Oreochromis niloticus: one gene and its partners. The protein of the gene in region 1 purifies or fractionates together with the protein of each later gene. This does not show direct contact. Links are inferred from orthologs where the notes say so. Each region holds a gene or a part of one and is shown in the gene's direction. Other genes may lie near its edges.

Region 1 (8,533 bases):
CAATAATTCATTTGAATGTCCACTGGCTGCCTGAGGGAGGAAAAAAAATTTTTTTAGCATTTGCCAGTCTTGACAGTTGGCCGTCCTCAGCGTTTGCTTCCACATGAAACTGTCAGTAGTGACAGAGGACTCCATGTTAAATGAGGGAATGGGTGTGAAATAGCCATAATAAGCCATTTTCAGATACATTTAAACAAGACAAGGTCAGCCAGTAGTTGATAGCGATGTATCCCTGATGGAAACTCCCTGATGTGTTGACTAGGAAATATTACTGCTTGGGATAGCAAAGATGTGTTGATGAATAATGCATACATACCCTGTTAGCCTATAATGAAGATAAAGCGGATGGCTGAGAGGAGGTTAATGTGCCTCTTTAACTTAAGATTCATAGGAACCCGAAAGGGTTGTAAAAAGGGCTAGTCAATGGCTATGTTTTTGTAGAACACGTCAACTGTGAATATAACCACTCCCAGAACTAGATGCAGGAACAAAGTGAAACGGCTAGTGTTTGAATTTATTTATTTCAAGAGCAAAGCGTTCAATAGCATTGGCAGGAAAAGAAAAAACCAAGTAGGTGTAGAGAGAAGTTTTTAGGATTAATTTACCAGTTTCCTGTAAGCCAACTCTCCTGGCCCAAGCCTGAGCCAATCGCAGCAACAACACACCTGGATTCGCCTCCTTAGCTGCCCCTGCTTTACATCCTCCAGCTCATCTTAAAGGAGGGGACACTCTCGCTCTGACAGCATGTGACAGTTTGTGAGAGACACCTGAAGCTTCCCCCATCCTGACCCCCCTCCCTGTGCAGAGTAGGGCTGATACATGGTTGCCACGCCAACCAGAGATCCCTAAGCCAGACCCTAAACAGGATGTCTTCCTTTAATAAGTGGATCTGACAAGGCGGCATGATGTTAATTTAATTGCTGTCGTTAGGTGACGTAGTTGTTTTCGACAGTCGGCAGGAAGTCTCTGTGAGGGATGGCGCGAGCAGCCTATAATCCATCACTACAGATGATCCACGTCCTCCCCCGAATTGTCTCGATACGGTCACGATGACTGCGTTATGAGATCAGGCTAAAAGTTTCTACTCGCCTCATTCAAAATGCAACTTTATAGCTTCATACTCGACACTGGCTGTTTCTGACTTCTTGGTTTTTGTCACAAGTGTTTTGTTTTTGCACTTCTTATAATGTACTTAACTGACACGTTGCTGTGTGCCATAGTCTCATCTGACATAATCATTCTCCTGAAGCTTTTTCCTTTAACCTTCCTATGCCAATCCATCGTGCTGTACGCCCAATGCCTTGTTACATATACGAGCTCAAAGCAAAGCACCAGGCAGAAAGGCTGCTTTGCTGTCAGCCGCCTACACGATGATGCAGAGAATCCATAAGAGACGGAAACCACAGTGCAAATATCCGTGTGTCCAGTAGCTCCTCTGAACTGCTGTGTGCCACAACAGGCCGGCCAGGTCGCCTTTTCTGTGTGTTTAGTTCTGCTTAGATATAGCACTGTAGCTGATCTACAAACAAGAGTGAGTGGATACTCACCAGTGCTTACATTTAAACCCTTAGGAGACTTGGTAAAGGTTCTTAAAGGGCCCCAAAAGATATTTAGTTTGATTTCCCATATTAATCTCAATATTGATACAAAAGAAAATGATAGTCAGGGCCCACCTAGCTGCTAGAATTTAAGATACACTTGCAAACTCATTAGTGAAGTCTGTCTTAGAGTACAGATGGAACAAAAGATGGAGAGGAGGGAACACTGCTGAAACCTCATTTTCTAGCTTTAGTATGATCGCAAATGCTGAGCCACACGATATCATGCAAACATGTCATTTCATAAAGCAAGAGTCGAACCCCTCCCACAGTTTAGGATGACAAAAGTCGTACCTGCGCTGCTCTGGTAGTTTCTCATGAGCTGCTTACTCGTATCTATAAAATGGTGCCAAGCTTACGAGGTTCAGCCTCTCAGACCCAGACAAGAGGTTGTACCAACACAGCGTTTACAAAAAGAACAAGCAGAAGAAGCTATTTTTTTTTCCTCTCTGTCAAGAGGAAATTGAAGGACAACTAAATTTACCTATGGATAATTTATATCAAAGTCCTCATTAATGATTTCACAATCTATTGTACTTTTTAAATGTTCTGAACGGAACCATTTTATATTGTGTATATATATGAATATATTTTGTTTTATTTTGTACTGTTCATTGTACTTTGCTTTAATTTAGAAACAATATAAATAAAGAACAATACTGTGGCAACATCCTACTGCTTTTGACGTTATTTAACCGAGACGCGTGATGGATTAGTCGATCCGCAACACTTCACCACAAAAAGGTTTTATTATTATTTTGGGAAAAGGAAAAAACTACAAATTTTAAATCGGCATTCATGTAAAATGTTCGGTTTTATGCAGATTTGAGTTTCTTTGTTGGTCTCTGGTCAGCTTCACTGTCGGAGCACTTCTTCCCCACTGCGCTCCCCCTCACATCGATGTCCTTTAGAAGTTGGAGCTGCAGCTGTGTGGCTATGCTCATCGCCCACAAACACAGCTCCAGCCTGTGGGGCGTCCAGTCCTGCAGCGGATCCACTGAGGGGCGAGAGGCAATACAAAAGCCTTTTTTTTTTTCTTCCCTTTTTGGTAAAGCACTTTTACACAACATGACCATTCACATATATAATAAAGGCATTAAAACAGCACATTAAACACAGGCCAATGTGGTATTTTAATGAGTAGTGTCTGTACTGCAGATGATGACGTAACCAGTTTGGTGTCATTACCTCTGTTTATTTTTTCGGTCCTCTCAGTCATCTTTTCCAGGTACACGGTGTAGTGCTTGGCGGTGTACTGGATGGGCTTCAGTCCCGGTACGCTCTCCATGGCTTCATCAGACATGAACGCAGCCTGTTCTGGAGCTCCCGCTGCTAACACAGCTGGAACAAAATGGACAGTCAGCCTCAAGCTACGCTGAACGCAGCCAACAAGTGCATATATTTTTCTACACAGAGTACAGAGAGTTCCAGCCTACTCGATCTAAGCACTGTTCTGTAAACTTGGAGAGGATCACAGAGAAATTTTCATACGTTTGTCTTCATATCCCAGAAAAGATGGTGTGCCGACCTGAAGCAGTGGCTGGGCCGACTCCTTTCAGGGAGCTGAGCTCTGCAATGGCGGCCTGCACGTCAGGCAGAAGGCTGAAGGCCTTTCTGGAACATTTCTCCACCTCGTCCTCGCTGTTGGAAGCCACCAGCTGCTGCAGCCTCGGCCTGAACTTCCCTCTCTGCAGACAAGCCCACAGGGCCACTCAAGGACACATCTGATGAAGGGAGTGCTTTAGGACTCTTCATGCTATTTCAAAGCTACGCTATGTGTTTGAAGGAGTAATTACTGGTGCATGTGGTTGAAATGTGTGAGACAGATGCACTTGTAAAGGAGGCAAGTGCTGAGGAAACATACAGAAGTACTCAGACTTTTACACACACTCACTATGGGCATAAATGTCATGGTGATTTTGGATTTTTAATGATTACTTTGAACTGTTGTTTTCCCAGGATGTAATGATTGTATAGCATACATCTTTAATGATTTTAAAAAACAAGATCTGCCTCAAAGTCAGCACTTTCAAACTCAACTGAAATTTGTAGCCACCCACATGGACCAGCCAAATGCCTTTTAAAGAAAAGTTTTACGGTCAGTCAAGGCAAAGCTTGAGCTATTTGGTCACAATAACAAGAGCACAAGAGGTATCTAAAGGTGGGGTTATCTTATGCTGGAGATTTCTTCCTGTTAAAATGGAGTTTTTCTTTCCCACTGTTGCCAAAATGCTTGCTCATAGAGGCAGTCATATGACGGTTGGGGCTCTCTCTGTTTTCTTTGTATTATTGTAGAGTCTTTACAATATAAAGTGCATTAAGGCGAATGTTGCTGTGATTTGGTGCTATATAAATAAAATTGAATTAAAAAGCAGGGACTGTGCCAGGAAGCCAACTAATTTAAATGAACTCTACCAATTCTGCTAGGAAGAGTGATTAAATATTCAGCCAGAATTATGCCAGAAGCATCTGGTTGAGGTTGACATTTAACCAAATATTAGTGGGGGTGTATGTATAATCTTGACCCTGTGTGGGCAAGTGAAAATCCAAAATAATTTCACTTGTACACAATGTTCTTTTTTTTTTTAAGTCAATAACGATGATGTACTATGTGCAATCATTCCACCCTGGAAAAAAGAACAGTCCAAAGAATTAAAAATCACCATGACATTCAAGCCCACAATGAAGGGATGTAAACCTCTAATCACACCTGAATGTCAAGTTTTCATTTTTGATTTAGAGTCCAGAAATAATTACTCACAGTGAGCTTCCACTCCATCAGTTTCTTTAGCTCTGATAGAGAGACATGTTTGTCAGGCCGACTTGAAATCAGTGAGGGCAGCTCCTGTTGGTACCTGATCACACAGACACTGATTAGGATCTGTGTACCTTTCATCTTACAGTCAAAGCAAAGCCAACTCATCCAAGTTCAATTCAATTTAAAAAAGCACATTCAATTTTAAATTAACAGGCATCAAGAGGAAATTGTGGTAAAACCAGGTCAGAAGGTATCCACTATACAACCCCAACTTCAGGTCCGCTTGCAGCTTTCTGCAGACTTTTAAATCGCAGCTGACATGGATAAAAAGGTGGAATAGGGGATTACCACCGCTCAAGGTCCAGCAGCTTCCCAGGTTTCTTGACTTTGGCCTTGGCCTCCACTACATCCCAGTATTTCTCATACACCTTCCTCCATGCGGCTGGCTCCTCACAGGCAAACAGAGCGCTCATGACAGCAGAAAGCTCACACCATCACCTGCAAACACAGAAGCATTTATTTCACACAGCCAAATAAATAACATTACGCTTAACAAGTGTTGTTTTCGCCCTAATGTATTGCGGTGATCAGAAAATGTCACGTTTATTTTGAAGTACACGACATAAAAACAAACCCACCCAGATCGTTTCTAATGTCTGCTCAGTAGTAAGTTTTTGCCGCGTGATGGTTGCTTCTGTTATTTCAGACGGAAATCCCGCGAGATGATAACAAAATACTACTTCCGGTGCTGCAAGAAGGCGAGCTTCACAGCACAAGGTTTGTCCTTAGAAGTTGTTTGTGTTTTACTTTAAGCGCGTGAATTTTCTTAATTTGATAGATTTTTTAATTATCTGTCAGACTGTTTAAATACTTGTAGCGTTTGCGCTTTGTCTTTGCAAACCTGCGCGGCGACTGGTGCTAGCCAGCTAGCACTAGCATGTCATTCCAGTCATGTTTATGGTCAAAGTACAGAGAGTTCTGCAGCTTGTGGCCAACTCAGCAGGAGACGCGTAAACTACAAGCCGATTACTAGTCACAAATAGATGTGTAAAGACAAATTATAAACACCAACAACACGTGGCATTAAGAAGGTGAACGGTTAAAGTGTTAGTATGCATAAACACTGGCCACATTGCCAGCTAGTGTGTGTTTATGTTACTTGGTGGAGTAAATCACGTGAGCACCAAGCGGCTACAAGTTGTAAGAGGATGAGTAGATCAAACAAACCCACAGGATGAGCTTGTACTAAAAGCAGGATACGTAAGAGTATTTAGAAACTGCATGCACTTAAAGCAATAACGTGTCGGGTAGTGCGATTACACTGCAACATTTCAGAATGTCATTGCATTCTATAAACATTCACCGGCCACTTTATTAGGTGCACCTTGCTATTACCGGTTTGGAACCCATTTCTGCTTCAGAGGTGCTTTAATTAAAAGTGGCATAGAGTCAGAAGGTGCTGAAAAGATTTCTCTGAGATGTTGGTCCATATTGACATGATAGCATCACAGAGTCGCTGCGGATTGAACAGGTGCTCTAGTACACGGAGATCTGGTGACTGTGGAAACAAAGTGTGCCAAAAAAATCCCCCACACCGATTAGACCACCACCAGGCTAAAGCTTTGGTACAAGGCAGGCTGGATCCATGCCAAATTCTGACCCTACCATCTAAATGTAAAAGCAGAAATTGAGACTGATTTTGTGAGCCTGGTTGAATTTGAATTGTAGCCTCAGTTTCTTGTTCTTTTATGACAGCAGTGGTACTCAGGGTTAGTGGTCTTCTGCTGCTTCAAGGTTCGATGTGTTGTACATTCAGAGATGCTCTTCCGCATGGTCTAGTTGTGTTGGATGTTATTTCACATACTGTTTCCTTCCTATGAGCTCAGACCACTCTGATTATTATCCTCTGACACCAACAAGTAATCTTCACCCAGAGTGTCGCTCACTTGGTAGTTTTTATTTTTCAGACCATTTTCTTTAAACCCTTGAAAATCCCAGCAGGTCAGCAGTTTCAGAAATACTTAGACCAGCCTGTCTGGCACCACTAACAATGCCACATTTAAAGTCGTTTAAATCCACTTTCTGTCCCATTCTCATGCTCAGTTTGAACTGCAGCTGGTCATCTCCAACAAAACAACATGCCTCAGTTCACTGAGTTGCTGCCATTGGCTGATTAGATATTTGCATTAATAAGCTGTTACACAAGTTTAACTAACAGATGACATACATATGACACAGTTCATTATTGATTTGTGACATGCTGCCACCCAGTCTAGGAAGTGCTGTATAACTCTAACTTATTATTTTGCTTGAGTGCCACCTGCTGGTGGCGTCTAACAGCCTTATTGTAAGTTTGTATTTGTAGTTCTCTACCTAATGCCTCATGTCACATTAACTGGGTTTGACCTGATAGCGTGGACAAAGTATATTATCTTTACTATTATTATCATTATTTTTGCAACAGAAACATGGAAAAAATGTCAAGGGTCACCACAGCTCTTGGCAGCAATGCGATCAGTGGCAGAACCATGTTCTGCCACTTGGACGCGCCGGCTAACGCCATCAGCGTGTGCCGTGATGCCACGCAGGTGGTTGTAGCAGGACGGAACATTTTTAAGATCTACGCACTCGAGGAGGAGCAGTTTGTGGAAAAACTGAATCTCCGTGTCGGCCGCAAACCGTCGCTGAACTTCAGCTGCGCCGATGTCATGTGGCATCAGATGGAGGAGAACCTGCTGGCCACGGCGGCCACCAACGGGGCGGTGGTAACGTGGAATCTGGGAAAACCCTCTCGCAACAAGCAGGACCAGCTGTTTACTGAGCACAAGCGCACCGTCAACAAGGTGTGCTTCCACCCAACAGAGGTTTACATGCTGCTAAGTGGTTCACAGGACGGCTTCATGAAGTGCTTCGACCTGCGCAAGAAGGAGTCTGTGAGCACTTTCTCAGGTAATTTAGTTTGCAACAACTCTTTCATGTGTAATGTAAAGTAAGTCTTTGCATGAAACAGTAGCGCTGTTTCTTCTTAATATGTTGAGAATATGTGAAGTGAGAACTTTACAATGCGTACACTACAGAACGCCCTCTAAACTGACACCTTTGATGTCTGTGGTTCAAAGCTGTAAAGGGTTGGATTGCTGTAGTTGTGGTAGAGAGATACAAAATGTAGAATTTCTCACTAAACAGTGAAAATCAAACCATGTAATTAAAGAAAGACCTTTTTTTTCTTTACAGGAAGAGTGATTTAATGAAGAAGGAGTTAACTCCAGTTTTAGACTAATGATACTGAACTAATAACACTTTTATGGTTCACCTAATGTGATGAAGTCTTTTTCACTTGTCAGAAGTAATGCTGTCATCCCTTAACTTCCCCTGTTTCTTCTAGGTCAGTCAGAGAGTGTAAGGGACGTCCAGTTCAGCATGAAGGATTATTTCACATTCGCCGCATCCTTTGAAAATGGCAACGTGCAGCTGTGGGACATTAGACGACCGGACCGCTATGAGAGAATGTTCACTGCTCACACAGGTCCGGTGTTTTGCTGTGACTGGCATCCTGATGACAGGTAAGACAAGAAATATGAGACATGAAATAAGAAATTTCAGCCTTTCCTTGCTAACATGTTTTTTGTAACCTTGTAGAGCAGTAGACCCATTTTTTTGAAGCCAGGTGTATTACAGTTGTCGCCTTTCACCTCATTTCATTTTAGGGGTTGGCTGGCAACGGGGGGCAGGGACAAGATGGTGAAGGTTTGGGACATGACCACTAACAGAGCCAAGGAGATCTACTGCGTCCAGACGATTGCTTCAGTGGCACGAGTTAAATGGCGACCTGAGAGAAAGTTTCATTTGGCCACCTGTTCCATGATGGTGGACCATAACATCTATGTGTGGGACATCCGCAGACCTTTTATTCCCTTTGCCACGTTTGAGGAACACAAGGATGTGACTACTGGAATTGTGTGGCGACACCAGCATGACCCTCATTTTCTGCTCTCTGGCTCTAAAGACAGTACGCTCTACCAGCATATGTTCAAGGATGCCACACGTCCTGTGGACAAGGCTAACCCAGAGGGCCTGTGCTTTGGACTGCTGGGTGACTTGGCTTTTGCAGCCAAGGAGAGTCTAATCACCAGTGATGCCAACAGAAAGCCGTACCCCGGAGGCGACCGCCGCTACC
Region 2 (7,449 bases), on another chromosome or scaffold:
ATTTTGTATCAAACCACTATTGATTTAAATAATTATGTAATAGAAATATGACCTGTAGTATCTAACCATGCACTTAACTGCAAACACAAATAGGTGGCTACCTAACACACACAGCCTGCTACACAGACACCATCAATACTTCCAGTCCAGCATAAATGAAGGTACCACTCTCATTTTAGTGCATTACCACTCTTATCTTTATTTAATTCAACTTCAATTCAGTTCAATTCTATTTTATTTATACAGCGCCAAATCACAACAACAGTCACCTCAAGGTGCTTTATAGTGTAAGGTAGACCCTACAATAATACATACAGAGAAAAACCCAACAATCACATGACCCCCTATGATCAAGCACTTTGGTAATAGTGGGAGGCTCCCCACGCTGAACTTTGATATAATGTTGTGACTTTCCATTACCTTTATTCAACAGACAAAAGTCACCAGAAACAGACTCTCAAGTAAATGGGAGTAGATGATACAGCAAAACTTAAAATAGTCTATAACTCAAGGGTTAGGTAAAAATGCAGCCCTCTGGTGGTTAAACTTAGCTAACCCTTCCACAGAGGATAGTTACAAAGAGCACCTTTGTAGGAATCCAAAAATAAATCTGGATAAATAAAATACAGTTTACATGAACTAAACCGGTTCACACTGTGCGTACGAGTGTGATTTTTACCATTTCACAGCCAGGTTCTGCACCTCCCCATTCTTGTCTTCCAGCAGTTTGAGCAGCATGGTCACAACTCTTCTCTCGCTGTCCTCGTCCAGCTTAATGCTGTCCTTCTGCAGCTCCAGCATCAGGTCATTGGTGGCCATGAACCTGCACGCACACACACACACACACATAGAGACCAAAGTTAATAAACTGATCTGTGAATCCCTTCAGTGATCCTTCTTTTCATTACTGCCTCAAAAAAGGGTCAAATAATGAATTAAGTGTATCGATTTGTTTAGATGTCTATTTATTCTTTAATTATTAATCCAGATTTTCAATTGTAACATTTAATTAGATGCTTTTTTCGCCACTTCTGTTACAATTGTGGTCTTTCAGTAAAGATGTGCACATTACTTGTCCAATAAATATTTAACTCATCAATTCAATGACAACAAGGAGAAAGGTAGAGGTTGGTATATTAAGTAATTCAAATCTATACTTGTGTTGTTGTTGGCTTATAGATGTGTTAATAACACTCAAAGAGTTATCAAAACATGTAAAACAGTTGCAGAATATACTTTCCTTGGTCACACATGACAGTAAACCCAATATGTGTTGTGTTAAAAACATCTCCAAAGATATTTTGCAATGTATTAAAAGATTTTTAAGACAAAATAAAACAATAACAAAAATCTCCAACATTCTTGAACCTACTGCTATCTACCTGGACAACAACGACTCACTTTCTCAAAATATAAAACAATTTAGATCATGAATTTATCATGTTAGCAAAAAATCCCTACTTCCAATTTCTGAAATTGAGTATTTGATGCTTTAAAAAAATCACAGCCGACACAGGGTTAGGGTTAGACAGATATTTACAAACATATTTTGATAATGATTAAATTAGTCAATAATATTAATATAACATTTGGAGTTTTTTATGAAAACGTAACCTTGGTTAGGTAAATTTGTTAAAATTGATTTTTGTTTTCAGGTAGAGAAAACTAATAAATGATGTGTCGATTAAATAAAAGTAATTAAGACTGTATAGAGGGCACTATTGTCTCCTGTGTGGTAAAATGGCACACACAAGTCGTGGTTTTAAAAAAGTGTCATCTCACTGTGAGAACTGCTCACTGTTTCTTACCTGAAGTCTTTGTCAGTGGAGGTCATTTTCTCCAACAGGTTGGAGATGTGGTAGGACACACTCGACATCTTTCCACTGTTTAGTCACTCAGGCTGAGAAAAAGTTTTTTTTCTACGGTAAACTCAGAAAACTTGCCACCAGATTTAAGCCGACAACATGGCGAGGCTAGGGGGGGCAGAGAGGAGAGCTGACGGCCCGATGGAACCCGACACTCGGCGTGCCCGGACAAAAATAGACGGCAGGGGACAGTGGTTCAGCTTTGTGGCGCCGCCGTGTGGACACACGGAGTCCGACCGGCCATACGGAGGCGGTAATGTGCCGATAAACCGAGTTTCAAGTCTTATTTTTACGTTAATTTGCCGAAAAAAACGCCGACGGTTATCGGTTAGTATTAACCGTTTGGAATTTGATCCCACCTTTATTGATAAACAAATTCAACAACAATTACAGTACCCGTTTAGATTTTTTTCTCCTCAACTTTATTGATAACTAACACATGCAGCAAAAGTTTGGGTTAACTGTGTTCTTCACCTTTCCTGGCAACGATAATAATAAAAATAATAATAATTATTATTATTATTATTATTAGTAGTAGTAGTATTATCATTATTATTCAAAAACAGAGTCATTTGACAAAAAAAGACAAACTTAGGACAAGAAACAGACCATATTTAATGAAAGAGATATTTGTATATTATACATACAGTTAAGCCCATAATTATTCATACCCCTGGCAAATTTTGACTTAAAATTACTTTTATTCAACCAGCAAGTTATTTTTTGACTGGAAATGACACAGGCGTATCACAAAAGATAATAAGATGATGTACAAGACGCATCATTGTGGAAAAAAATATTTCTCAGCTTTTATTTACATTTGAGCAAAAAGTATCATGTCCAGAATTATTCATACCCTTTACAAACTGTCACAGTCTCTGGGAAAATCCAAAGTTCCATACCATTCCAAATAGTCAAAGCTGTTCTAAAGCATCCTAATTACCCTGATTAATTGGAAATAGCTGTTTTACTCAACTCAACAGGTGAAAAACAGCAGCTCTCTGCAGGTGGTCTGTGGACATTCATGGCTAAGACAAAGGAACTCAGTGAGGACCTGCAGCTGTGCATTGTGGCTGCTCACAAGTGAGGAATGGGCTACAAGGCCATGTCCAAATGTTTTCAAGTTCCAGTGGCTACAGTGCAAAGTATTATTAAAAAATACAAGATGTTCCGCACTGTGGAAAATCTCAGAGGACGTTGTCGGAAGCCAAAAGTGAAACCTGTGCTGGCCAGGAGGATAGTGAGAGAGGTGAAAAAGAATCCAAGGATCACCACCAAGGCCATTCTGGTGAATCTGGGCTCTGCTGGTGGCAATGTCTCAAGGCAGACAGTCCAACGGACACTGTTGGGTTCCACGGATGCAGACCAAGGAAAACGCCACTTCTCCAGGCACTTCTAAGGCATGCCAAAGCTCGTTTGGCCTTTGCAAATGCTCATCTGGACAAAGAAGAAGGTTTCTGGTCTTCAGTGTTATGGTCAGATGAAACAAAAATTGAATTATTTGGTCACAATGATGTTGCCTTCATTTGGCATAAAAAAGGAGAAGCCTTCAACCCACAGAACACCATCCCCACTGTCAAACATGGTGGTGGGAACCTAATGCTTTGGGGGTGTTTTTTAGCCAATGGACCATGGAACCTAATCACAGTAAACAGCACCATGAAAAAAGAGCAATACATGAAGATTCTCAACAACAACATCAGGCAGTCTGCAGAAAAACTTGGCCTTGGGAACCAGTGGACATTTCAGCACGACAATGACCCAAAACATACAGCAAACATGGTGAAGAAATGGTTAGCAGACACCAACATTAACGTTTTGCAGTGGCCTAGCCAGAGTCCTGACTTGAATCCAATTCAGAATCTGTGGAGGGAGCTAAAGATCAGGGTGATGGCAAGAAGACCGTCCAACCTGAAAGATTTGGAGCTCATTGCTAAAGATGAATGGGCAAAAATGCCTGTGGAGACATGCAGAAAGCGGGTCTGCAATTATAGGAAGCGTTTGATTGCTGTAATAGCCAATAAAAACTTTTCTATTGATTATTGAGAAGGGTATGAATAATTCTGGACATGATACTTTTTGCTAAAATATAAATAAAACCTGAGAAATATTTTTTTCCACAATGATGCCTCTTGTACATCGTCTTATTATCTTTGGGGAGACACCTGTGTCATTTCTGCTCAAAAAAGAACTTGCTTGTTGAACAAAAGTAACTTTAAGCCAAAATTTGGCAGGGGTATGAATAATTATGGGCTTAACTGTATATATATATATATATATATATATATATATATATATATATATATATATATATATATATATATATATATATATATATATATATATGTATATACATATATATATATGTATTTGTATGTTCCATTCCATTCAAAAGGAGAAAATGTAACTTTTTGAAATGTTTTCACTAATCTAGGAGGGATCGGATTTTAATTTATTTAGAATGTGTTCATATTTAGCTTCTAAATAAGGTTAAGGTTAGCTCGTCAGACGCTTATGCGGAACCCTTGTTTACTGGTTGTTATTTCCGCCGGTATGATGTGCGGTGGGACTCGGTGGGAAACGGTTATCTTACTTGTTGCCACGTCGGAGTAGTCGGTGAAGCCGGGTTTCTTTTTTCTTATAAAGGAGGATTACTCGTGTTGTTCGGGGTTTCTGTGTCAGTCACGGTCATGGTGAGTTTGATAACTTTGCATTTAGGCCACCGGTGAAGCTGCTCGCTGACGTTTGTGGCATTTTCCCGGTTACCGTTAGCTGCTGACGTGCCCAAGTCCTAGTAGCTCCTTAGCAAAGTGGCTAGTAGTAGCAGGAAAATCAATGAACATTTTAATTAATGTGCAGTATTTGTGATTATATAATGTTTGTTCATTTCAGGTTTCCGTCATTAACACCGTGGACACCTCTCATGAGGACATGATTGTAAGTTTTCCAGTTTTTTTCCCCTTTTTTATTTAACCCAAACTAGTTGCTAATCACAGCTGATGTTAGCCTTCTTGTTTTAAATACCTGTAAGTGAGCTTTTACGCGTGATAACTAGAGATACAAACATGTGTACAATGAAACGTCAGTAAGTATTATCACTGTAACGTGTCATCCATTGTCTTTAAACCCAGTTGTAACAAACTAACATTGCTGCGATCTGACACTGCTAGCTGATCATCAGAGACTGATACTGTTCTTTTAGGATCATTGTCCTAATTCATGACCCTCTTTCAGTTTTAGCTCTCGGACTGATGACTTCACATTTGACTCTAGAATAAAAAATATCTGGGGGTTTTCTTGGATAACAAAATTAGATTTGAGAAACAAATTTATTCAGTTGTTCAGCGGTCCTTTTAAAAAAAAAAAAAAAAATTAAGGCTCTTATTCGAGGTGAGATTATTTTTATCCTTTAAAAACTTGGAAGGAGCAATCTATGCGTTTGCCTTATTTCAACTGGATTACTGTAATTCGCTTTATGTTGGTGTCAGTCAGTCCAGTTTGGCACGGCTCCAATTTGTACAAAATGCTGCAGCCTGTCTTTTGACTCGTGTGAAGAGACACCAACATTTTACCCTGGTGCTTGCTTCCCTTCATTGGCTTCCAGTGCAAAATGAAAATTAAATTTAAAATCTTACTTTTGACTTAATAAGTGCTAAATTGTCAGGCACCAGACTATTTGTCTGACCTTTTGCAGCTTTATATGTCCTCTAGAGGCCTTTGATCAAGTGATCATTTACTCCTTACCTTACACAAGTCTAGGATGGTTCATAGAGGGAATTGGGCATTTGTGGTTGTGGCATCGAAAACGTGGAACGATCTACCTCTCCACATTAGAAAGGCCCCAACTGTCAGTCTTTTTAAATCCCATCTTAAAACATATTTTTTCGCTTTGGCTTTTTATACTGCATGAGAGTCACCAATTCTTTTTATCCTAATTTTCTTTTAATTTTCTTACCTGTTGTTGATGTTAATGCCACTGTTTAATTATTACGTTGTACAGCACTTTGGTCAACTCTCTGTTGTTATTAAATGTGCTTTATAAATAAATAAATAATAAATAGAATACTTTGGTATACAGAGGAGTTTATGGTCGACTTGTAACTGCAGGGTTTCCATGTGCAGTGGCTGCACAGCAAGCCCAAATCGGCACCTCTTAACCATTTTGCTGAGTTTGGTTTTCACCAGACTTCTACACCTGATCTTGTCTGTCCAAAGAACATTATCCCAGAAGTGCTACCATGTTCTTTAGGGAGAGATGAGGCTTTTTCCAAGCAAACCAGACTTGTTCAGTTGTGCTCTCTTGTGCATTTAACCGATGTTGGCCGATACATGTAGCGTCTCATAGAAACAATAGGGTGTACTAAGTTTATTTTAAAGATCTACTTAAAGTTTTTTTTAAACTGACTTTTTTTCACATGACTTTATATGTCACTATGTTTCATAAAGTCCAGACTACTATACTAAATTACATATAAAAGAACATTTGAGTTGATTAAATTAACAATAAAACCAGGATTGTCAGTGGGTGACGACACACAGCAGAACATCATCAGCCCACTCTGAACCTGTTTTGTGTTAATTCACACAAACAGTGATTTTCACTGTTGTTTGTGATCATTAAGTCATACATGATAAAGCACATTGAGCTGAGCTCCATCTTTGGCAAAGGCTATTAAAATAATAATTTCAGAAACAAATCATTAACAACTTGCCACTGATACCCTGTGACTGTTGCCACAGATACATTTGAACTTGACTTAGCTTTACTTTTGTGCAGGTTATAAACTGTAACCTGTACATTTGCTGTAGGACTTTTGTGTTTTACACATGTTTATCTGAAGTAACACCTCAAAAACATGAAAGGGACACAATAACATTAACTAACTGAAGAGGGCAGTGGTAGACCAACATGTTCAATGAGGTAACGACACTGTTTGTGTCAAAGCCGGTTTTGAATACAGTACATTCATAGATATGGCTTCATTTCCCTGTTGGAAAGGACAGTCCGGCTGCTTTTGGCTGCTGACTACAGCCACTGAAAGCACATTATTTAGATTTAAGGCTGATTCTCCAGCAAAAGAAGATGTGCAAAAGCTCCTCAGTATCCGAACTATCCCTTTTAAGAGAATAAAGTATTTTCTTTTGACTAAATCATTGTTGCAGCATTTATCCTTTTTATTTTCTGTTAGATGATGTTTAAACTGAACAATCACCATGAGAATGAAAATATTAATAAAATATAAAATAATAAAATATTGTTTAAATTGAAAGGTAGAGGTGGAGGTTCTCACTCAGGTTTTTACATTTTGCTCTGTCTGTTTCAGCACGATGCCCAGATGGACTACTACGGGACTCGGCTCGCCACCTGTTCTTCTGACCGCACCGTCAAGATCTTTGACGTCAGAAACGGAGGGCAGATCCTTGTGGCAGACCTCAGAGGGTAAGAAGTAGGGCTGGCTCATATCTAGGGGTGCAACAATACTCGCATCTATAATGAACCGTTCGATACAGTGCTTTCGGTTCGGTTCGCATATGTATCGAACAATAGAACATTTTTTATTTATTTTATCAACTTTTCTTTTGA
Region 3 (7,553 bases), on another chromosome or scaffold:
TTTCTCTTCGTATAATCTTAAAACCGAACTGAAACCAATGCATCTACACATCTGTTTGTCTTTTTAGCTTAAAATGCATAATTTTTGATTTTATATGCATTAACATTGTTATTGTTTTTTTCTCTCTTGTCTTATTCCAGGCTTCTGATTGTGTATCCCTGGGCTCAGAGATACTTCAAAGCCTTTGGAGACCTGTCCACCAATGCTGCCATTATGGGAAACCCCAAAGTGGCACAGCACGGAAAGACCGTGATGGGTGGTCTGGAAAATGCTGTGAAGAACTTGGACAACATCAAGCAGACCTACGCCAAACTGAGCGTTATGCACTCTGAGAAGCTCCACGTGGATCCCGATAACTTCAGGGTATGTCCCCACCAGCACCCAGAAACATTTATCACTATTACATCTGAAGCAATTCGTTAATTTTGTGCAACTCTCTCATCTTAGGTGCTCGCTGAATGCATCAGCCTGTGTGTGGCCGCTAAGTTTGGTCCCAGCGTCTTCACCGCTGACGCCCAGGAAGCCTGGCAGAAGTTTTTGGCCGTGGTCGTTTCTGCCCTGGGTAGACAGTACCACTAAATTTCTGGAGTGCCAGTTCATCAAAGATGTGCAACAGTTATAAGCGTGATTGTAAAATCATATCTCTTTAACTCTGTTGCCATATGCACTAATAAAAATAAAAAATAAAAAATAAAAAAAAAACTCAAATCAAACTCATTCTCTGTGCGATCATTTAAGGTGTTCTTATACCCGACAATACAACACTAAGACTCATTTAGTGTCATTTTAATTTTGTCTTAAAAAACAATATTAATTCCTGCTTTGAAACTGTTGCATAGAAAAATGAAATGCAATAAAGTGGCTACAACCTGTTGTAGTATGATCACCTGGAAAAGTGCCAGGGTGGTGAGAATAAGGTGTGTGCCCTTGTGAGTCAGCAAATTGTATATTTGTTGTGAGTTATTTACAGTAATTTATTTCTTATCTTTGCCAGGGAGAACGGTTATTCTGGCTTCTTTAAAAATGTGCAGTTTGATATAAAAGGGAGTGGTTTTCTGAAATTTATAAGAACAGTGTGTCACATATCGTGAGGGCGCGGTTGAAAGTTTTGGAACGGATACACACCGGGTGCCCGGGTCTTTTAGTACTTTATGACAGAAGATCTTACAAAAATCTTCATGCGTATCCCCTTATTATTTTTGAACAAACAAACTTACCACTGTTAAAATGTGCTTTATTTCTGTAGGCGTCCGCTGGGGATTATAGTGCAGCTCTAAATGCATCCAAGTGAATAAACAGAGTTCCTATACTCACGTGATATTCAAAATGGAGAATAAAGAGAGTGCAATCCATGCATCCATCCATCATCTTCTTCTGGATCTAAAGTCAAAGCACCCACAGTCGCCCAAATACGTCATCTAGTGGATCAAATTTGACATTGACGAGTCCTTGTTTTATAGAGTTAAGATTAACTAAAATTAGAGCGGATTACAAATGCTGTGCAAAACAGGGGAAAAGGTTATTTGTGTTTTGTTTTCAGACTTAATCATATCCCGATCCATATAGAGATTTAAAAAGAATCTCCCCCAGTTTAAATCTCAACTCAAAACCCATCTGTTCAAATCTGCATATTCACTGTGAACCCACTGTTTGTTAATTTTATCTTGTGCTTTTGTTTTATTGTTCTTCATTTTGTCATTTTTCCATTATGTGTTTTATCTAATTGTAAAGTGTCCTTGGGTGTCTTGAAAGGCGCTTTATAAATTAAATTTTTGTTATTATTATTATGATTATTATTATTATTGTTGTTGTTAAAAGAAAAGAAAGAAAAGAAAAACGGACAAGAAATGAAAATAGGTTTTAGAAACAATTCAGTTCCTGGATATCTCGTTTGGACTTTTACCATTTCATCGTCATCCTTTTCCTACTCCACAAAACCATCCTGATTGCAGTAGCGGTTTTAGATACGGGCGACACGGGCGGTTGCCCGGGGCGGCATCGTGGTGGGGCGGCATCACGGGCATCGAAAAAAAAAAAAAAGAAGCTCGTACTCATGCTGCTCTCCGACGTCAGCCAGCGCATATTGGTTATGGCATAGGCACCGATGGGTTTTCTATCGCCCATTTGCTGGGAGTAAGGGCGCCCTTCGTTTGCGAGGTGCGCCTGCTGCTTGCGGCACAGGGAGGAGAGGGCGGGGCGGCGGGGGATTCTCTGGCTGGCTGGAGCAGCATCTAATAACCAACTCGCAAAATAAAACAAAATAAAAACAAACCAACAAACACGAAAACACCAGACATTATTATACAGACTTATAATTTGCACCGATGTTTTTTCGAAATTCTATACACGAAAAGTGAGCGCGAGAGCCCTCGGTGTGCCTGCTGCTGAAGTCAAAGTAAACTTTATTGTCATCTGCGCTACATACAGTCCAGTATATAGAGAGACGAGACGACGAGGCTCCAGTTACAGCAGTGCAAGTAAACAAACAATAAATATAAGAAGAGTAAGAAAATAAATATACACTTTAGGACTAGGGCTAAAGGGATCAATAACAATTTAAAATTTACAGTTTGATGATTTAAAGTCTCACACACAACAAAGGGGAAGGGGCTGGCTGCTTCCAAATAGAGCACATTTCATTTATAATGTTGTAAATCCAAGCCCATTATGTATTCATGATTTGAATCCTGGGATGTGTGAAATCTCAGAAATGCACCTTAGACAAAGTGAATCTGTGAACTAAGGTGTAGGTGTATTAGATCATGTTGTGGTGATCCTCAGGTTGGGGGATGGGTGTTCATACTGGAGTGCAAAATTAAAACCAATGGAAGATGGACAAGAAAAGTTCAAAGCCATCAGGTGCTCAGTTTAGAAAAAAGAGAAAAGAAGAGGAGGAGAAACGAGCAAAATATACAGGTAAGCAGATGTGTCATTGGATAATGGGAGAGGGAGTATTCGCCCAGGGCGCCAAACAGGCTAGGACCGCCACTGCCTGATTGGATACCTCTAGCTGCTAAAAATGTTGTCCTCATCTTCATCACTAGGGCTTGAGCCTGAAGAGTCATCCCTTTCATTCTGGCTTTCATTCATCCACATGCCTCAATTTGTGGATGAAGGCACAATCAAAGCACAAAACAATTTCCAGCATTGAGAAGACAGGCTCCAAATTTGCTTCCTGCAGGTCAAAAAGCTCAAATAAATTCAAACTGGTTTCTTGAAGATTACAGTGAGCCTACTGCACTTAAGTGGGGTCCACAGTCACCAGATCCCAATCCAACACAGTAGCTTTGGGATGTAGTGGAAAGAGAGATTCACATCATCGATCACACACCTACTGTGTGATGTTGTGATGGAAAGGCAAAAATCTTTGAGGAACGTTTCCAGCATCTTGTTGAATTTATGCCATGAAGAATTAATGCAGTTATGAAGGTAAAAGGAAGTCCAACTTAGTACTAGCAAGATGTACCTAATGAAGTGGCCAATGAGTGTTTATTGCAGTGCATTTCATGTACATATGCATGGCAACATCTGTTTATTGTGACTATTTCATGTCTCCCTGTCCTGTTGGCATCTACAAATATACTTTTTAGGAATCCCATGAAAATCGAGCGACCTGGTGTGCCACTTTATGAGGTACTTTTTTATTTTAAAAAAAAAAAAAAAAAAAAAAAGAAGTATAATAGCGTTTTTATTAAAATTAGCACATCTCACAAAAATGGTACAGAAGAGAAAGTTATGGCAATAGAAAATGAACTCATGCTTGTATAAATAAATAAGAATAAACAAATAAATATATGAATTAAATCATTAAATAAAACAACTTTGACTTATAAGAGGAGTGGAGGATTGTATTACATTGTCCTTCACAGTTGTTTGTGTATCTATTATTATATTATACTTCTCAAATTAAGATAAACAGCAATTTACAATCACCTTGAAGCATTAGTAACATGTCCCACATTGTCCCACACAAACTCTCTCTCTCTGAGCTATATTTGGTTTCTTGGGCTGTCGTTGTCCTGCATATGCATCCTCTAAATGATATATTCCTGACAACTTTTTTTTCAAAAGATTCTCAAAGTGTTTTTTCTGACTCAGAGAGTAATTTCTTGCTTTTCATGCTGATGAGATCTGCGGTAGTTAATTAGGAGTTCATTTAGGTTATTTGTAATGTGTTGACACAGCACTGGTTCATGTCTTAGATTGGGTCTTCATAGCTCAACGTTAAGTTAGTCTGAGGGACTAAAAGTGAGTGAAAAGTCAGTCAATGTGCAAAGGAAAACTTCAAAATACCCTCATAAATCCTGGAGATCTATTGCTCAAGACTAATTCAAAAATATTAATAACAATAATTCAAGAAAGTCTCGCTCCTTGGAAGCAAAATCTATAGAAATCACGGTGAGTGAGGCAGTAGATTAAGTTGTAGCGGAAGGATATGATATCTGCCCTCTTTGTTTCAGCCGAACAGTTTTCACAGTGACACAAAACAATCCCAACAGTGGTGGATGGATGTGCGGTAGGGTATAATATCAAGGCTTTATAGTTAATTTTAGTCAGACTATAATTTGTCTCAGGTCGGTGTCTTTGTATGGCAAACACTGGTGTTAATACCAGGTTGAAGTGAAGCAAGATAACGCTTCCTGTCTGGTCGAAGCTAACTGAGGAGTTAGCTAGAATGCTAACATGATGCTCAACCCGTCAGTCGGTCTACCAGATGACCGAAAGTCCTTGTACCCTCAGTCCCAAAGTAGTGCATACAAATGCGGCGACAAAACCAGTCCTATTAGCGTCATACTGGTTAGCTCTGGAAGCCGAGGGAACAAACTCCTTTTTCGATATCCCTACCAAAAGGTCGCTGAGTGTCCGTCATCTCTCTCAGGTAGGCGTAGCATTAGCACGAAGCAGAAACATAAACATTTACGCACACACAGATAACCCGGTGTCACTTCCACGTAATTACATATTTACAGGAGATAATAAAGCAGCAGTGTAATCCAGGGCAAACCAACAGCCCCTTTTTGTTGTGATTGTCGACTTTGGAACCGCCGATTGCCTTTTTTTTTTTTCTGCGGATCGGGTCTATTTGTTCCTCTTTCTTGAAGTTTCCCTTTTTTGGCCTCTCAGATTGTTGTTGTTGGATGAGTTTTATGTGGCACATGAATTTGATGTACTTTTGTTCATTCACAAGTTGCTCTTGTTGCTGGTGTTGCGCCAAAACGTCATTGCAGTTGTTCCTGTGTGTCTTTTATGCCTAATAACTTTTCTTATAATTGCAAATAGGCTGCAGTCAAAAAGATTTCCGAACAGGATTTTATATAAAATAAAGAATTTACCTGTGTTGCCAGTATCTGTATGACTCAGCGTTATTGCACCTACTCTGTGTTCTAGATAAGGACTGGCCCAGGGTCCTCTTAAAAATGCATTTTAATCACACTTTTTAACTGGATAATTCAAAGATATATAAAAGTTCTACCTTGTGATAGGACTGTTCTTTCTGGCTCAGAATGATGTCATATCATTCATGAGCGATATCTTTGAGACTGTAGGCCATGAAGTTATTTACAGCACTTTAAATACCAGTAATTGTGTTTTTGGCAAATACTGGCACAGTACTGGTGCTGAGAGGCTTTTACTAGGAACAGGGGCATGAACTAGGGCAGCAAAAGCATGTGTCTCTCTAACACAGTTTTATGATCAGTGAGTTGAAGTCAGATTCACAGTGGTTCTTGTTTTTGTTGTGAATCTAATATGTATTTTCATAATGACTAACTCTCACTGATATCTGTCCACAAGCAAAACAGCGGAATCCATATGTGCTGAACACATCTGGGGATGAGCTCGATGACCAGGATGGTGATTCAAGGTATTTCTACAATCTTCATTTACTTTTTTTTAATGTATTATTCAACTTACTGTTTCATTCTGAGATCCAAATGAGCTTCTTAAGCTCATTATGTTTTCCTCCATCATGCTTGTAATCTTTTTTCCCTCATCTAGACACACTTTTTGTTTTTCAGCAATATTATAGATGCTGACACACAGTTTAAATCAGTGGTTCTCAAACTGTGGGAGAGTGTGGATTACTAGGAAAAACTATTAGGTTAAGCTAGGATTATTGAAAACATTGAGCTGTTGAGAACCACTGATTTAAATTAATTGTGTGACCTTTAATAAACTTTATTAAACTAAAAATATAATTGAGTAAAACAGTTCAGTATATGATATTTTTAAAAAAAACCAAAAAAACATTCACCTCACTTTGTACCTAATATTTGTCACAGCCCGAGGTGCTGTTTGGATAGACACTCTTTTTCCCAGCTGCTAAGAGATACACTCACTGGCCACTTTATTAGGTACACCTTGCTAGTAATGGATTGGACCCATTTTCCATCTGTTTAAAGGTTAGATGTGCTGTGCTTTTAGCGACGCTCTTCTGCATGCCTTGGGTCTAAGCTCAAAATAGTTTGTCCATTCTCCTTTGTCCTCTGGCACCAACAAAGCATTTTCACCCAGAAAAGCACCACTTACTTAACATTTTCTCGGCTTTAGACCATTCTGTGTAAATGCTAGAGTTGGTTGTGCAGGTTGACTTGACTCTGTCTGTATGCCTAAATGCAGTGAGTTGCTGCCATGTGATTGGCTGTTTAGATATTTGCATTAACAAGCAGCTGAACAAGTGTATGTAGTATAGTGGGTAGTGAGTGTATGTAATCCCCTAATGTGCATCTTAAGATGAGTTTCTATTTTGTCTTTCATGCTAGTAAGGTTCCATCAAGGCAGTAACTACACCAGCAGTCACGTTCTGAATTTAGCGGGAGCACTTCTTTATCTACTGAGTAAAACAAAAGAGTAAAACTGCTTCACAGTGATGCCACATATGTGTCAATAGCTGTATAATGTTCAGATAAGTCTGTAAAATAACCTATTCATTCAACCTTTATTTACGTTATTTTGTTATTATTAGCTTTATTAAAGCAAGCAGTGCCGTTCAATTGCATAAGAGCAGCTTTCATTTGGTGTTTATGACGTGAAACATGCCATAGATATTGGGCAGGTAGTGTAGGAATTTTTCAGACTAATTTAGCAGAACAAAAATAAGAAAATAAACAGTGGAAATAAAACATTTTGCTTGTATTTCCTGTTGTGTCATAAACATCAGTAGAGTGGAAAATAAGGATTGGCATGGACCACAGGATTACGACATTTCTGATATATATTCTATTACTTCCCACCGGCAGCATTTAAAATTATTTGAAGCCATACATGTACAAAGATGTATGTAATCATGACCTAGTTCAGACTTATTTTATTGTACTGTCATATTTTATTACAAACTTAGTTACCTTGAAAACCCTTTGAGGCGGGTATATAAGCTTACAAACCAGCACTGCTGGTATTAGGACTTCAGCACACCAGTGTTTTCACATCACACTATCACATGTTTGTTCGGCTTGTTTTGATGTCCATTTTTATGCATTTAGCCCAACTGTGTGTTGCATTTTCCCTTTTGTTTGTTTTTTTTTCTTCTTTTTTGTGGCCCAATCCCCATTTCA

Evidence for each region.
Region 2: the proteins of wdr24 (region 1) and sec13 purify together in Homo sapiens (affinity purification with mass spectrometry; 5 studies listed by BioGRID and IntAct, counting the BioPlex papers as one, with this or other methods). This does not show direct contact. The link is inferred for Oreochromis niloticus from reciprocal best matches to the Homo sapiens genes WDR24 and SEC13.
Region 3: the proteins of wdr24 (region 1) and nprl3 purify together in Homo sapiens (affinity purification with western blotting; 6 studies listed by BioGRID and IntAct, with this or other methods). This does not show direct contact. The link is inferred for Oreochromis niloticus from reciprocal best matches to the Homo sapiens genes WDR24 and NPRL3.

What each region holds. Positions count from the first base shown.
Region 1 is NC_031973.2:19,294,374-19,302,906, forward strand, and holds the start of wdr24 (GATOR2 complex protein WDR24), read left to right. Parts: upstream 1-5,022; 5' UTR 5,023-5,133; intron 5,134-6,820; 5' UTR 6,821-6,824; coding exon 6,825-7,305; intron 7,306-7,741; coding exon 7,742-7,919; intron 7,920-8,063; coding exon 8,064-8,533. Other genes in the region: uncharacterized protein zgc:112496, read right to left, coding at 2,414-2,595, 2,787-2,939, 3,127-3,286, 4,360-4,453, 4,705-4,829. UniProt on the Homo sapiens protein: Catalytic component of the GATOR2 complex, a multiprotein complex that acts as an activator of the amino acid-sensing branch of the mTORC1 signaling pathway. The GATOR2 complex indirectly activates mTORC1 through the inhibition of the GATOR1 subcomplex.
Region 2 is NC_031970.2:4,864,498-4,871,946, forward strand, and holds the start of sec13 (protein SEC13 homolog), read left to right. Parts: upstream 1-4,342; 5' UTR 4,343-4,555; coding exon 4,556-4,558; intron 4,559-4,757; coding exon 4,758-4,802; intron 4,803-7,189; coding exon 7,190-7,305; intron 7,306-7,449. Other genes in the region: cand2 (cullin-associated NEDD8-dissociated protein 2), read right to left, coding at 680-823, 1,809-1,876. UniProt on the Homo sapiens protein: Functions as a component of the nuclear pore complex (NPC) and the COPII coat. At the endoplasmic reticulum, SEC13 is involved in the biogenesis of COPII-coated vesicles.
Region 3 is NC_031969.2:24,429,650-24,437,202, forward strand, and holds the start of nprl3 (GATOR1 complex protein NPRL3), read left to right. Parts: upstream 1-4,446; 5' UTR 4,447-4,683; coding exon 4,684-4,879; intron 4,880-5,793; coding exon 5,794-5,863; intron 5,864-7,553. Other genes in the region: hemoglobin subunit beta-A, read left to right, coding at 141-363, 448-579. UniProt on the Homo sapiens protein: As a component of the GATOR1 complex functions as an inhibitor of the amino acid-sensing branch of the mTORC1 pathway.